2 linked regions of the Tribolium castaneum genome follow. The protein of the gene in region 1 interacts with the protein of each later gene in a pairwise test. Links are inferred from orthologs where the notes say so. Each region holds a gene or a part of one and is shown in the gene's direction. Other genes may lie near its edges.

Region 1 (6,533 bases):
TAAAAAAATTAATGTTTATATCCACTTCCATCTTCAAAATTCCTTATTCCTTAAACTAACATAAAGTTTACTTGTTTACTTTTAACAGATTTTATGAGCGCCCGTTTAATTAGTAACAAGATGTAATAACATCGAGGAAATATTTTTAAAGTACTACTTTTGCATTCGAATTCATTTGAGCCTTAAAACTGAATTTGAGACACCTTTAACTGTTCATCTTTACTTTTATTTGTTTCTCGGTTTTATTTTTGTCCGTTGTGTGACTAGGAGGCGAGCAATCCCCCGAAAGGCGGCCACCAGCTGAAAGCCACAGAACCACAACGAAAGCCAACGAATTGGCTGTCTCGATGCACCCTACTCTGACCAATCGGCGGAGTTTAAACGCCCTTATATACTAATCGTTCACATCACAGCCTTAAAGGGAGAGTCGATTCTTGTCGTTTCTCAAGGGTGGTAGGCTTCGTTTGGTACCAGAGGTCATCAGGTTGTGGTGTGTTGTGTAAATAGTCGGCACGACATGTCGTTCGGTGTTTTGTGACTTAATCGAAGTCGTTCAATTTTAAATCAGGCGAAAGGGACCAACTTTTCGTTGAGAAATGCACAAGTGAATGATATACTTTGTTATTTATGATTCGGTTTGAAGGCCCCGTTTTCCCTCACAAAACACCGGATGGTATGTCAGCGACCTTGATAATACTTATGTGATTAAGGGTAATTATTTTTTTTACCGTTGTATTTTTTTAGATAATTTATAGGTATATTTATACGTGTGCACATTAAATTAAAGACGATTGTATTCTTGATGGCGGTTGCAGACCTTCTCATAAAAATGATATGTCAATTACTGTTTTCAACGGCCATTAAGGGTATTGTTTCAAGGATTCTTTGTTGTGATTGCGATTCATTTATATTTTTTAAAAACTAGTTATGTCTTTATTCATTTTTTAATAGTAGATAAATCGAACAACCCGATGGAAATCAGTCCGTTTTATTTGTGTACATAAATTATTTTCGTTTTTCTTGTCCAAAGTATTATTGAAAAATTCTTTGTTGGGCGTTTACAAAAAATTGTATATCAAGTTTCGTTGCAAAAAAGATATTAAAGGAGACTAGATTTTGTACGTTTGTATATTTACATTTCACAAATTGTTTAAGAATTATCGCCCTCTAGGTTTAGCGATTACACTAAGTAAATAAAATGACGGAAATATCCAGGATGTTTCATTTTAATTGCGTTTTTATGAATAATAAAGCGAGTAGAGTCTTGTAATTTATTGTTTTATAAATGAATGTGTAAAAATATAAAAATGACTTACATAACACCAAGTTCGCGCAATTTGCATTGGAGTTTCTTTGTCGTGCCTTCCCATAACGTCTGCAAAGGCTCTCTGGTGGTTGTGCCGCAAGTGCTAGTAATGATGTCAGTTGCAGCCTTTGAGGCCGCTATGTAGTCGCCTAAACAACATATTAAACCACGTTAAGCGGACTATTCTTTTACCTTGTTTCGCAATCACATCTATCGTCCTGTTGAGTAAATTCTGTGACGTTTGGGCGCTTTTTATCTCCCCTTCTCGCACAGCCACACAAATGGATTCAACCAGTTTTGGTAAAAAGTTCAGACTTGTGCCCATAATACACGTAAAACCGCTCGCAGCAGCCCCCAAAATTGCCTAAAAGTGGAAATTAAGTGGGAGATATGGCCATAAAGCCCCTACTTCGTCGGTGCCCATAAAAACGGTAAACTTTTCCCTATTTACCGCCATAGCAGCGGTGCTCTGTTGTATATCATTCGTGCTATAAATGACGCCTACAAACGAATCCACTTCTCCCGTTATATCCAGCAGAAACGACGTAATATCAACTAAAAATGAATTTTTTCGTGTCTTGTTCATCGTTCGAAACGCTTACTTTCAACTTGCGTAAACTTGGGATTGTGGTGATAGAGAATGGGGACGTTTTTTGTAAATTCTGATATTAATTTTATGTACTTGATTAGGTCTAGGTGGTTTTTTGGTTTGTTGTAAAGGTCGGGGAGGATTACAACAGCGCCGATGTCCCTCTTAGCGGCGTGTTTTGCCTACAAATGAAAAATATTAACAGTTTTAACAAATGTTTAAACTACCATTTCTATAACGTCTTTGAGGGGGGCTCCCCCGATTTGTGCCATCAAAAACTGATTTGTTTTTTCACAAGCGTCAGCCCACGCGTCCGCCAAATCTATTCTTTCATGAATGGTTAAGGACATTCCTTCCCCGGTTATGTCATTAACTAAAATTGACCATTTAATTTAATTCATTTTCTAGAGTTGCGAAATACTTAAAATTCCTTTAATATTGCAAGCTTTTAAAAAATTTGCGTATTTTGGTATAGCCTTAAGGTTTACATCAGGTGTCACTCTTTTTAAGTTAGTAAATGGGGTAAAGACGGGGCACAAAAGCCCCCGAAATTTAAATTTCTGTGCCTTGAATGCAGGCATTGCCGCTTTGAGGGCATGTTTCTTTGACGACATGTGTTTGTGAATGTCGGAAATCCCGCATCTGTAATCCTTTTTACAGAATTTGCAGTAGAAATACGTATTTCCATGTATGCTCTCTGATAACCATGCTTTCAATTCGGGTTTATTCTCCCATTCTTTTTTGTACTTTGGTATGTATTTCTGCGGGAAGGTGGTTGGTTTTTCATTTGGTGTACTGGTGACTTACCTTCGAGTTACTGTCTCGTGATTTCTTTGACGCTGGTTCAAGATTTTCGTCTTTTTTGTCGTCTTGTTTCTCATTTTCTTCTTCGCTGTCTGACTCTTCTGGCACAAAATCGGCAAACAGAGCCTTAGCCGTTTCAGGTGTGCTTATTTGTGAGTCTTTTTCAGCCTTGCTTTTCGTGTTTGAAGCTTCCTGTTTGGAGCATTCGGGTTTCGTCATATTTTTCAAAAATTGTTTATATTTTTCACAAAACATAACCTAAAAAGCTGACATTTTAAGTGGCTTTTGGGTGGTAAGGACGGTAAGGTTGGTAGTCATTTTTACGAAAAACGTGCGTTGTTTGAGGTTATCCAAGTTTTTGAAACAAGTTTAAAATGGATAATATTCTGAATGACGAAAAGCCTCGAGTGATTTTAGGAGAATATAAAGTGACGCAGGTATGTCCTTTATTATTTTGTATTAAATTCCTTCAAACATCCTTTGAAGAATTTGCCCTCGGAACCAACTGTTTTGGACGAGAAATGGGACTTGAAAACCTTTAAGAAGAGATTTAGGGTGGTGATTGTGCGAAGTGAAGAGAATGAACTCGAATTTGACTTGATAGGGATTCACCCGTTCCTAGCAAACACTTTCAGAAGGTTAATGTTGAGTGATGTCCCCACAATGGCCATTGAAAAGGTTCACATTCTTAATAACACGTCTATAATCCAAGACGAAGTTTTGGCCCATCGTTTAGGCCTGATACCGCTAAAGGCCGACCCCCGATTATTTGAAATGAAAACTGATCGTAAGTCTTGTAATGTTGCCGTTCCAAACGTTACAATATTTTTACAGCAACTGCTGAAGGTACCGAACAGGATACTCTAGAGTTTGCGTTAAAAATTAAATGTACCAATAATAAAGACAGCAGTAAAGACTCACTGCGAGCTGAAGATATGTACAAAAACAATAATGGTAATTACCCCGTTTGAGAAACAATAAAAATTGCAATAATTTTAGTGTATTCAAAACACATCAAATGGGTGCCCATTGGTAAACAGAAGGAGCGGTTTAGTGACGTGGGCCCCATCCACCCTGACATTCTCATTGCCAAAATGAGGCCAGGCCATGAGTTAGATTTAAAATTATTAGCAGTCAAGAGCAACGGGCGAGACCATGCGAAATTTTCTCCTGTCGCAACCGCATTTTATCGCCTTCTTCCCGACATAAAATTATTACGAGAAGTGGAAGGTGAAGCAGCTGAGAGACTCCAAAAATGTTTCTCTCCCGGTGTGATTTCAATCCGACATGAAAAAGGCCGCAAATACGCTGTTGTAGCTAATGCGAGGTATGATACAGGAAGTCGGAATGTTTTCCGTTATGAAGACCTCAAGGACGCAGTAGCGATGACCAAAATTCAGGATCATTTCATTTGTAAGTTTTTTTTTATTTACTTTTTCAGTTTTTATTAATTGTAATTTAGTTACGGTCGAATCTGTGGGGGCTTTACCACCTGATGTGATATTCATGGAAGCTGTTAAAATATTAAAAGACAAATGTCTTGCTTTATTAGATGAATTAAGTCATGTATAAACATTTCACTTAATATACTTTTATCAAACCACAAAAAATATAATGAACAAGGTTAAAAATAAAAAACATTTGACGCGTAAATTTTTGCTACCTTAAACCTTCCTTCACCTATTGTCTAGTAAAAAATTAAATTGTAAATTGACTGGAATCGGAAAATTATTGCCTAGGCGTAATAACTGGGAGGCACTGTGAGATCACTTAAAACTAACAGTTCTTCCTCAGTAAATTTGAGTTTGTGGATTTCCCAGTTTTCGTGATGCGTTCGCTTGAAATCTCCCAAGGTTTTGCGAATTGTTGCCTAAAAATTATTAATTATTTTTTTAAACGACGAAAGTGTGACTCACAGGAATGGGTTGGGGGTCGTTCAAATGGGGTCCTAATTGTCCAAAAACATCCGGTAAAAAGTCAGGTACGTCGTATGGATGGCTATTGATAAAAGCACACAAGCCCAAAACTCCAGCATGTCTAAATCTTAAAGTACTAAGATTCAAACTGTTTGAATTGTTCAAATTTTTCTTCTTCAATTTAGTTTTCGCTTTCTGTTTAAATTGCGCCTAGAATTCACGAATTATTTAACGATAAACTAAGAACCCGAATAATTACTAATAATTCTTGAGGGTTTGGAATAAATTGGCAGTGCAAAAGACCGCTTAAAACTTGACTAGCACTAACTCTAACTTCAGGTTGAACATCTTCGAGTAGTTCTAGCACCATGTGTTGTATATCTAGTACCCACTCCTTTTTCGAAATAATCGTGGGCATATTGTGGAATACAAAACCGGACATGAATTCGGTTATAACCGCACGAGCCGACCAGAACGGACAAGTGGCAACTTTTCTTATTGCTTCAAGGGCCGAAGGCATGTATTTGTCAATAGTTATGGTGTAGGCCAAAACTGCGAGCAAACTCGAGCAAATTGGGGCGATTTCGTCGTCGGTGTCGTTGCTTTGAAGCACACACGACAGTGGCAAAATCTCGAAATATTCAGGCAGCGTGGAGTAGTTCATTCTTACAACACTCGATGTCACGTATTTTGAAACTGAAAACATGCCTTTTATTATTGCATCCTGACTGATTACATTACAAAACAAAACATTAGAAACAATTACAGAATCACACAAGGCTCCGATTTTCCAAATAACAATTAAAAGCCTAAAAACATATTCTTAAATAGAAAAATTAAACCAGTGCCGATTAGTCATCGTACAGTCACATAACTGCTATCATTTTTGGTGGATGCGCCGGCTAGATTTGGTTTTCATTCTAGAATATTTTTTAGATTCTTACTACGGATATTTTAAGGTAGGGGTATGAAACGACGTATAAATAAAATGTTTTCGTACTCGATAGTTTCGTTAATGTCGCTATAGAGCGCAGTTGTTCCATTACGTCCATTGTACGTCTACGTTTGTAGAGCAATGAATTTGAAAAAATGTTTGGATTTGTATAATGAATACCACACAAAAAATAGAGGCAGATAAAGCATTAAATTCTTAATAGTAAGATATAAACATAATGCAAAAAATTTATCGTAAACTATATTTAAAAAAATTTCAAACGTTTACCAATTTGCACTACTCCGTGAGTTCAGAAAGTTCTGTGATTTCTGTGATCTCATTTCGTCTCCTAAGTTATAGTTCTCCGTAATTCTTACCTAGTTTGAACAACCTCATGGCATTTTCTCGAACTTCGTCGTTTTCGAGCGACAGTCCTTGCATATCTTTTGATACTTCAGACGTATCCATTGGATTATCCTTACTTTCGATTTTGCTCAAAGTGTAACTGTACAAATTGTCAAGTGTGGGCATTATCTCCTTGAAAAACGCCTTAATTCCCGCCGAATTCGTATCGTTAGCATCATCGGGGAAAATCAAATCTTTGGAAAAAATCATCGTCAGACAACTACTAATTTTGTCCCTGATATTCTGGAAAGGGTGCGACAAGTGCTGTTTGAAGTAGTCGAACAAGCGAACTGACAGTTCGTTATTTCTCCAAGTTTGTTGGTTAAGGGCTGCATGGAGCATGTGGAGGCGCCCACAGGCCACAAACGATGTTTGGTCGGAGAGTGGATCTTTGACCAGGTATTCCAAGATCCAATGGTAGCGGTTGGGGTCTCTGGAGTCCAAAGCCATCGCCATACTGAGGCCCCAGTCGGTCATGGTTTCGCTACACATATTCACAACTGCAGTTTCGAGGATCGGGATCAGGACTGACCAAAGTTTGGTGATTTTATCAAAACTCCAATGCTTCGAACCGCGGAT
Region 2 (5,966 bases), on another chromosome or scaffold:
TAAGGATGAGGTAAACAATGATTATTTCAAATGAAGGGAATAAAGGAATTATTGGTTTGTGAAATGAAAAAATAGTACACAAAAATCAAAGCTTTTTCACTTGGCGTTAAATAAATGCTCTTACCTTTTGTACTGCATCTGCTACCATTTGTAGCAAAACCTAAAAAATAAATTAAAAACACAACCAACAAAAAAATTAATTTGTAGGAAAGTTACAACAAGCGACTTTAATAAATATTATACAGAATAAAGGATACACAATACGGTATAATATATGGCACAGAAGCTATTAAATCAACACATCACAAGATAAAACGCAAAAAATTGCACCTACCTTCATATGGCTTCTGCGTTGGCTACTGTTTGTAGCAAGACATTTAAAAAATTAAAACAACACCAATAAAAATCTTTATTTGCATGATAGTTACAACAAGCAACGTTTGTCAATATTAAACAAAATAAAAAATTCACAATACCTTTCAATTTGTGGCAATTCAAATTCAAATCAAATTCAATACCTCAGTAAATAAATGCACTTACCTTCATATCGCTTCCACGTTGGCTACCGTTTGTAGCATTAAAAAAATAATAATAAAAATGAAACCAAAAAAAATGTTTATTTGCATTAAATTTTGAGCAAGCCACTTTCATTCATTGAAATTAAAGACAAAATTATTACGTGGCAATAAATTATTTCAGTGTTTGATTATAATTTTATTTACTGTATTTAAAATGTGTCACTCAAACGCGATCACTAGTCACCGAATTGAAAATTTAAACCGGAAAATTTAGATTTGCTTGAGCACACGTCCCTTCGCAACAACGGCAAGTAACAAACTGAATAAATTGAACGAAACCGCACAATACACAATAATTTAAATAAACCGACTCACCTCGCTTCGCCTCGCCTCCCGCTCCCGCTCCCGATCTGACCCGTGCCACTGCTCGCTGTCGACTGAAGCGCTCTCGCCGCCTGCGCCGCACACCTAACCTCGGGACACGTCACGGATGTGACGTCACAAGTATAAAACAGGTCATTACCAGAAATATTCACTGGTAAAATCCGTCAAATTTAGAAACATTCATACACAGAATTATTCAAAATAGAACAGCATTGATCTAAAAAAATTAATAATAACAAATGTATTTGCCTATAAACGTCTAAAATTATAAAAGTTTCGCATGCAGTCAATGGAAAAATAAAAATGCATGTTTTTATTTAAACAGAAACTGGCAATGTGAAATTTTGGTGCGAAAATTAGTGGTATCGCAATGCGTATAGCCACATTGTTTGTTTGTTTCGTTTTGTTGAAAATTCGGTAGGTTCCAAAAGTAGGGTTATGTTGTCACCCGAAAATGACAAAATTTACACTTTTATGAATGTTGTCTCCATCTCTGCCCTTTCAGAGCGTTATGATAGGATATTTAGGGTCGAAATCTCTACCTTTATTATGTGCTATTGCCAGATAAGGACAAAAGTTCAGAAAGTAGGGTTAGGGTGTATTATGCTCTCTTCTGAAGTGTTAAATTTTAACTTTAATGTTTTTTGTGTGCTTTCCTGCTCTTCTAGAGCGCTATTAATTATTATTGAACATGTTTAAGGACAGACAAATCTACCTTGAGTCAACGACATAAATTTCAGTGAGATTTATTGAAAAATGCACTTCTCATGTCAACCTTTTCATGAAAAAGGGTGTTTAAACGTTTATAAAGGGTATGTTAACGTGTGTTGTTAACTTTACCACGTAATAAAACATAAAGTATAACTTGGTAATTTTTTACTTTAACTACTTCTGGATTTTCAAGCTGAAACTTACACCAAACGATTCCTCTGAGTGCCCTGATGACCGTACACTATGAATTTTCTTGTGCAAATTGAAAATAACATTAGAAAAATAATTTTTATTTTCACTCACTTTTTACTTGAATCGCCATTTTTGTTGATTTTAAGGGATACAACCAGGCATCCCGAACTGATATAGCCCAATCCACAGAATAACAGGTTTTACGAATCGAACCCTAATTGAAATAGGTTTTACTGATGATGAGGATAGATGGCCCCAGTGTTTTACGGGAAAAAGAAGTCCTATTGGCGGATTTAAAATTCCAGATTATTGAAGAAAAACGTGGTACCGATGCGCAGCTGACAAGTAAAAATTTCACAAACGTCAGCAAAATTTGAGTTTATTTTTTATAATATCACGTTAATTTTTCAAAGTTTTATTAAGGTAGTGGATCAAGGTGTCGTGTTTGGGTTAGACTATTGCCTACTATCGGTTAGGAACAACATGATCTCTAAAAATATAACGTAGTAATGAGCTCCAGAAGGTTTACGTAGATAGGTGCGTTTTTCCCAAAAGTGAGTTTTTTGAGATCGAACCGCAAGTGAGTCACACTGCGAGAAGACTCCCATAGACAGAAGTTGCAAACATAAGGTGCCAGACCGGTGCCAGTTTGGCTGATTGCAAGTATGTCGTTATCATCGATTCGGTGACGACTATTAGTTTTGTAAACTTAATGGATTTAATAAATATCTTTAACATTAAATGTGATCGTGTCATGTTGGGTAAAATTCTTCCATCTGTGCTGTCTGTGCATCCACCTTTTCAAATACAATTAGGAAATTTTCAATAATTTTATTTGATAAGGTTTTGACATCATTTTGACATGAGCAAAAATTAAAAAAATACAAAGTAATCGGAATTATTTTAAATTTGCGCCATTTTTAGTACGTGATGATGCGGCTAGATGGCTTCAGCTAGGAATTTATTGCCAACCATTATGTTCCGTTAGTGTTATTCTAGGACCTAACCCCACTTAAAAAATGCCAATCACACAGGTAAATTGTCTTATTTTCTGTATGACATCAATCAAAACCACGTTACTTCAGCTCCTGGGAACCAAAGACACAGACGAATCCTGCCGAACGTTCATTCTACAAGGCGAGGGTCACACTTTAGGCAACGCTCTCAGATGTGTCATTTCTGGCTAGTAATGCGCTCCAGACTCATCCAAACCCCTCTCTTAAATCATTTTTGCAGTCCTGACGTCGAATTTTGCGCTTACACAGTCCCCCATCCCATGGAATGTTCAATGCACCTCCGCATTCAGATGCGCTCAGGCCGCGCTGTGGACGCCCTCAAACGAGGCTTGGAGGACCTGGCAGCCCTCTCCGACCACATTCTGGACGAGTTCACACGCGAGAAACAAAACTTCGACAGTAGAGACGAATTGTCAACTTAACATTTTTGAATAAACGTCATTTTTTATTAATCAAAATGTTTGTCTAAATTCCTGTCCCAATGTACTTATGGCGAAACCACCGGAACACACTGCTTCCGAGGAACTCACGCTTTCGTCCAGAGGCTACCGACTGTTCAAAGTCCTCGGTGAGGGCTCCTATGCTAAGGTGTACCTTGCGGAGTACAAGGGCACCGCCGGGGACGAGAAAAACAAGCCCCGGCAATTGGCCTGCAAAATAGTCGACACAACGAAAGCCCCCCGCGATTTTGTCAAGAAGTTCCTGCCGCGCGAGCTGGATATTTTGGTCAAAATCAATCACCCGCACTTGATACACGTCCACAGCATTTTTCAGCGCAAATCAAAGTACTTTATTTTCATGAGGTATGCGGAAAACGGCGACTTGCTCGAGTTTATTTTGAAAAAAGGCTCGATTTCGGAGGCACAGTCGCGGGTTTGGATGCGACAGCTAGCCCTAGCTGTGCAATATTTGCACGATATGGAGATAGCGCACCGGGATTTAAAATGTGAAAATGCCTTAATCACCAGTAATTATAACTTAAAAGTGTCCGATTTCGGATTCGCGAGATACGTGACAGACGCCTACGGCAAAAAACTGACCAGTGACACGTACTGCGGGTCTTTGAGCTACGCAGCCCCCGAAATCCTCAAAGGCTCGCCCTATCACCCCAAAATCGCCGATATTTGGTCACTTGGAGTTGTCTTATACATCATGCTTAACAAAGCCATGCCTTTCGACGACACAAATATCAAAAGACTCCACGAGCAACAAATGAACCGACAGTGGAAATTCCGGTCGAAAGTCGTCGATGTGATAAGTTCGGAGGTGAAGCGTCTCATGAGCCACCTCCTAGAGCCGGACACGTCCAAGCGGTGGAAGATCGAGCAGATTTTGGCGTCGGATTGGTTCGGGATGGACCCACGGCTGGCCCAGTTGAACCCAGCGGAACAGGCGGCCATGGTCCATGCCCAGGAAGAGCGTAAAAAATATATGGACAATCTGAGGAAGAAATCGGGACCTAAAGCCATCAAAGGCGACGGTTCGAAAGAAGTTTCGGTGTTGAAAAAAGAAGTCGAGACGCAGGAGACCAACAAGTTGGCCACGATGAGTCTCCCCAGCATGATTGCGGAGGATTGAAAAAACGAACAGTCCGATAGTTTTATGTGGTAATAAATATTTAAAATGAGTTTTGTTTCAAAGGCATTGAAATAAATAAATTGTTCTGTTTAAATGGTGGCAAGCGCAAGGTAATTAACAACGTTACAGACTGAAATTAAGGTAATGCGAAAATTCTGTCGAAAACTAATGTAGAGATAAAAAAGTTATAGTTAATTAAATTAAAGTTAATTTCCTTTAAAAAAAACCTATTGGCATTATCTCTATATTCAAGCATTTTGGTTAAACTATTTTTTCCCGATAATAAACCACCGATAAAAATTAATAAACGAATCTATAGTTTGGGCGGCTCTGTAAGTCTTTTTAGAACTTAAATTAGATAACCAACTTTGAAAAATTTAAAATCAGGACATTCATAATAAAAAAATGCAGACTGGTACATGATGTTGTCTTAAGTGAACAATAAAAAACTTCTTAGTATTTTATAGTCACTAAATATTTATCTATTGAGTTGCTACATTTACGAGTATACAGAGTATATCAGGTATATAAAGTATATCAGAGATACGAGTGTTAATTTTACACGTAATAAAACTTATCAAGTACAACAACTTTTTTATATCACGTTTTGCAAAATTCTTATTTATTACTTTCACTATTTTCCTCCTTTCTTATTTATGTGCAAACTAAAGTTCCTATATTGGGAGAGTTGGGACATGTCAATTTTCGAAATTTTGTTTCATGTACGTCCGTTGGAATGTGTAAAAAAACAAATTGCGATAGAAATCACTTATACATTTTGGTTTTTTTTTGTGGCAATTATTAATGTCGGGATATTTGGGTTTATTTGTATCAAAACCAAGACAAATCGGGACATAAACACAGAACAGGACAAAACAAAAAAAATCTAAACATGTCCTAGCTTCTGGCTAAATCAGGACGATTGGCCACCTTAGCCCTAAACCATTAGAGATTGAGTAGAATCTCTAAAACAGACTGTTTTATTTTTCAATTGGCGCGATTTGAGCAGATTTTCGAAAAAAAGTGTTTTTTTCCTTTGTCAAGCCTTTTGAAATAAACTAGATCCCAGGGTTTTTTGAAATTTAACTTAATAAATTATAAAAGCACTAAATGAGTCAATAATTACGTTAATTTTGCCCTTTTTCGGCTTATTTTCAGCCACAAATTCTATTTAAAACTCATTTGAATTGTTCAAAACTAATTATTTTACTATTTTCTTGTTATGTCATTAAACACGTTCTTACAAATTGTACAAAAAACAGACTATAAATAAATAATCAAATTCAGTTCGTTATTTAAGCACGAACGGAAGTAATGAGTAAAATATCGTTAAAAATAAGCCATAGATTTGAGGTAAAATTACGCTATTTTTGATAAATTATTTTTAACACTCGCTGAAAACTGAAGAATCACCAAATTAGCTCTTGTTATTAGCTTGTTGTTAATTTGGCTCGATTTTGGGCAAAAACCCCTGGCACTTTTTTTCGTCTCTAAGCGCATTCGCAGCGAAAAATATGGAACGTAATAACTTAATAAGCAAAATTTTTCATAGACTTGCTCTTATTTG

The links.
Region 2: the proteins of Polr1C (region 1) and Polr1D interact in a two-hybrid assay, tested with the Drosophila melanogaster proteins (2 studies listed by BioGRID). The link is inferred for Tribolium castaneum from reciprocal best matches to the Drosophila melanogaster genes Polr1C and Polr1D.

What each region holds. Positions count from the first base shown.
Region 1 is NC_087396.1:18,339,430-18,345,962, forward strand, and holds Polr1C (DNA-directed RNA polymerases I and III subunit RPAC1), read left to right. Parts: upstream 1-2,961; 5' UTR 2,962-3,073; coding exon 3,074-3,136; intron 3,137-3,185; coding exon 3,186-3,486; intron 3,487-3,533; coding exon 3,534-3,653; intron 3,654-3,698; coding exon 3,699-4,112; intron 4,113-4,161; coding exon 4,162-4,271; 3' UTR 4,272-4,352; downstream 4,353-6,533. Other genes in the region: Rab8 (ras-related protein Rab-8A), read left to right, coding at 268-363; N-acetylneuraminate lyase A, read right to left, coding at 1,313-1,455, 1,499-1,670, 1,716-1,861, 1,909-2,077, 2,123-2,268, 2,317-2,656, 2,703-2,954; proteasome activator complex subunit 4, read right to left, coding at 4,435-4,569, 4,616-4,825, 4,875-5,311, 5,927-6,533.
Region 2 is NC_087402.1:7,143,309-7,149,274, reverse strand, and holds Polr1D (DNA-directed RNA polymerases I and III subunit RPAC2), read left to right. Parts: upstream 1-2,710; 5' UTR 2,711-2,824; coding exon 2,825-2,839; intron 2,840-2,890; coding exon 2,891-2,991; intron 2,992-3,041; coding exon 3,042-3,243; 3' UTR 3,244-3,279; downstream 3,280-5,966. Other genes in the region: testis-specific serine/threonine-protein kinase 1, read left to right, coding at 3,311-4,399. UniProt on the Drosophila melanogaster protein: DNA-dependent RNA polymerase catalyzes the transcription of DNA into RNA using the four ribonucleoside triphosphates as substrates.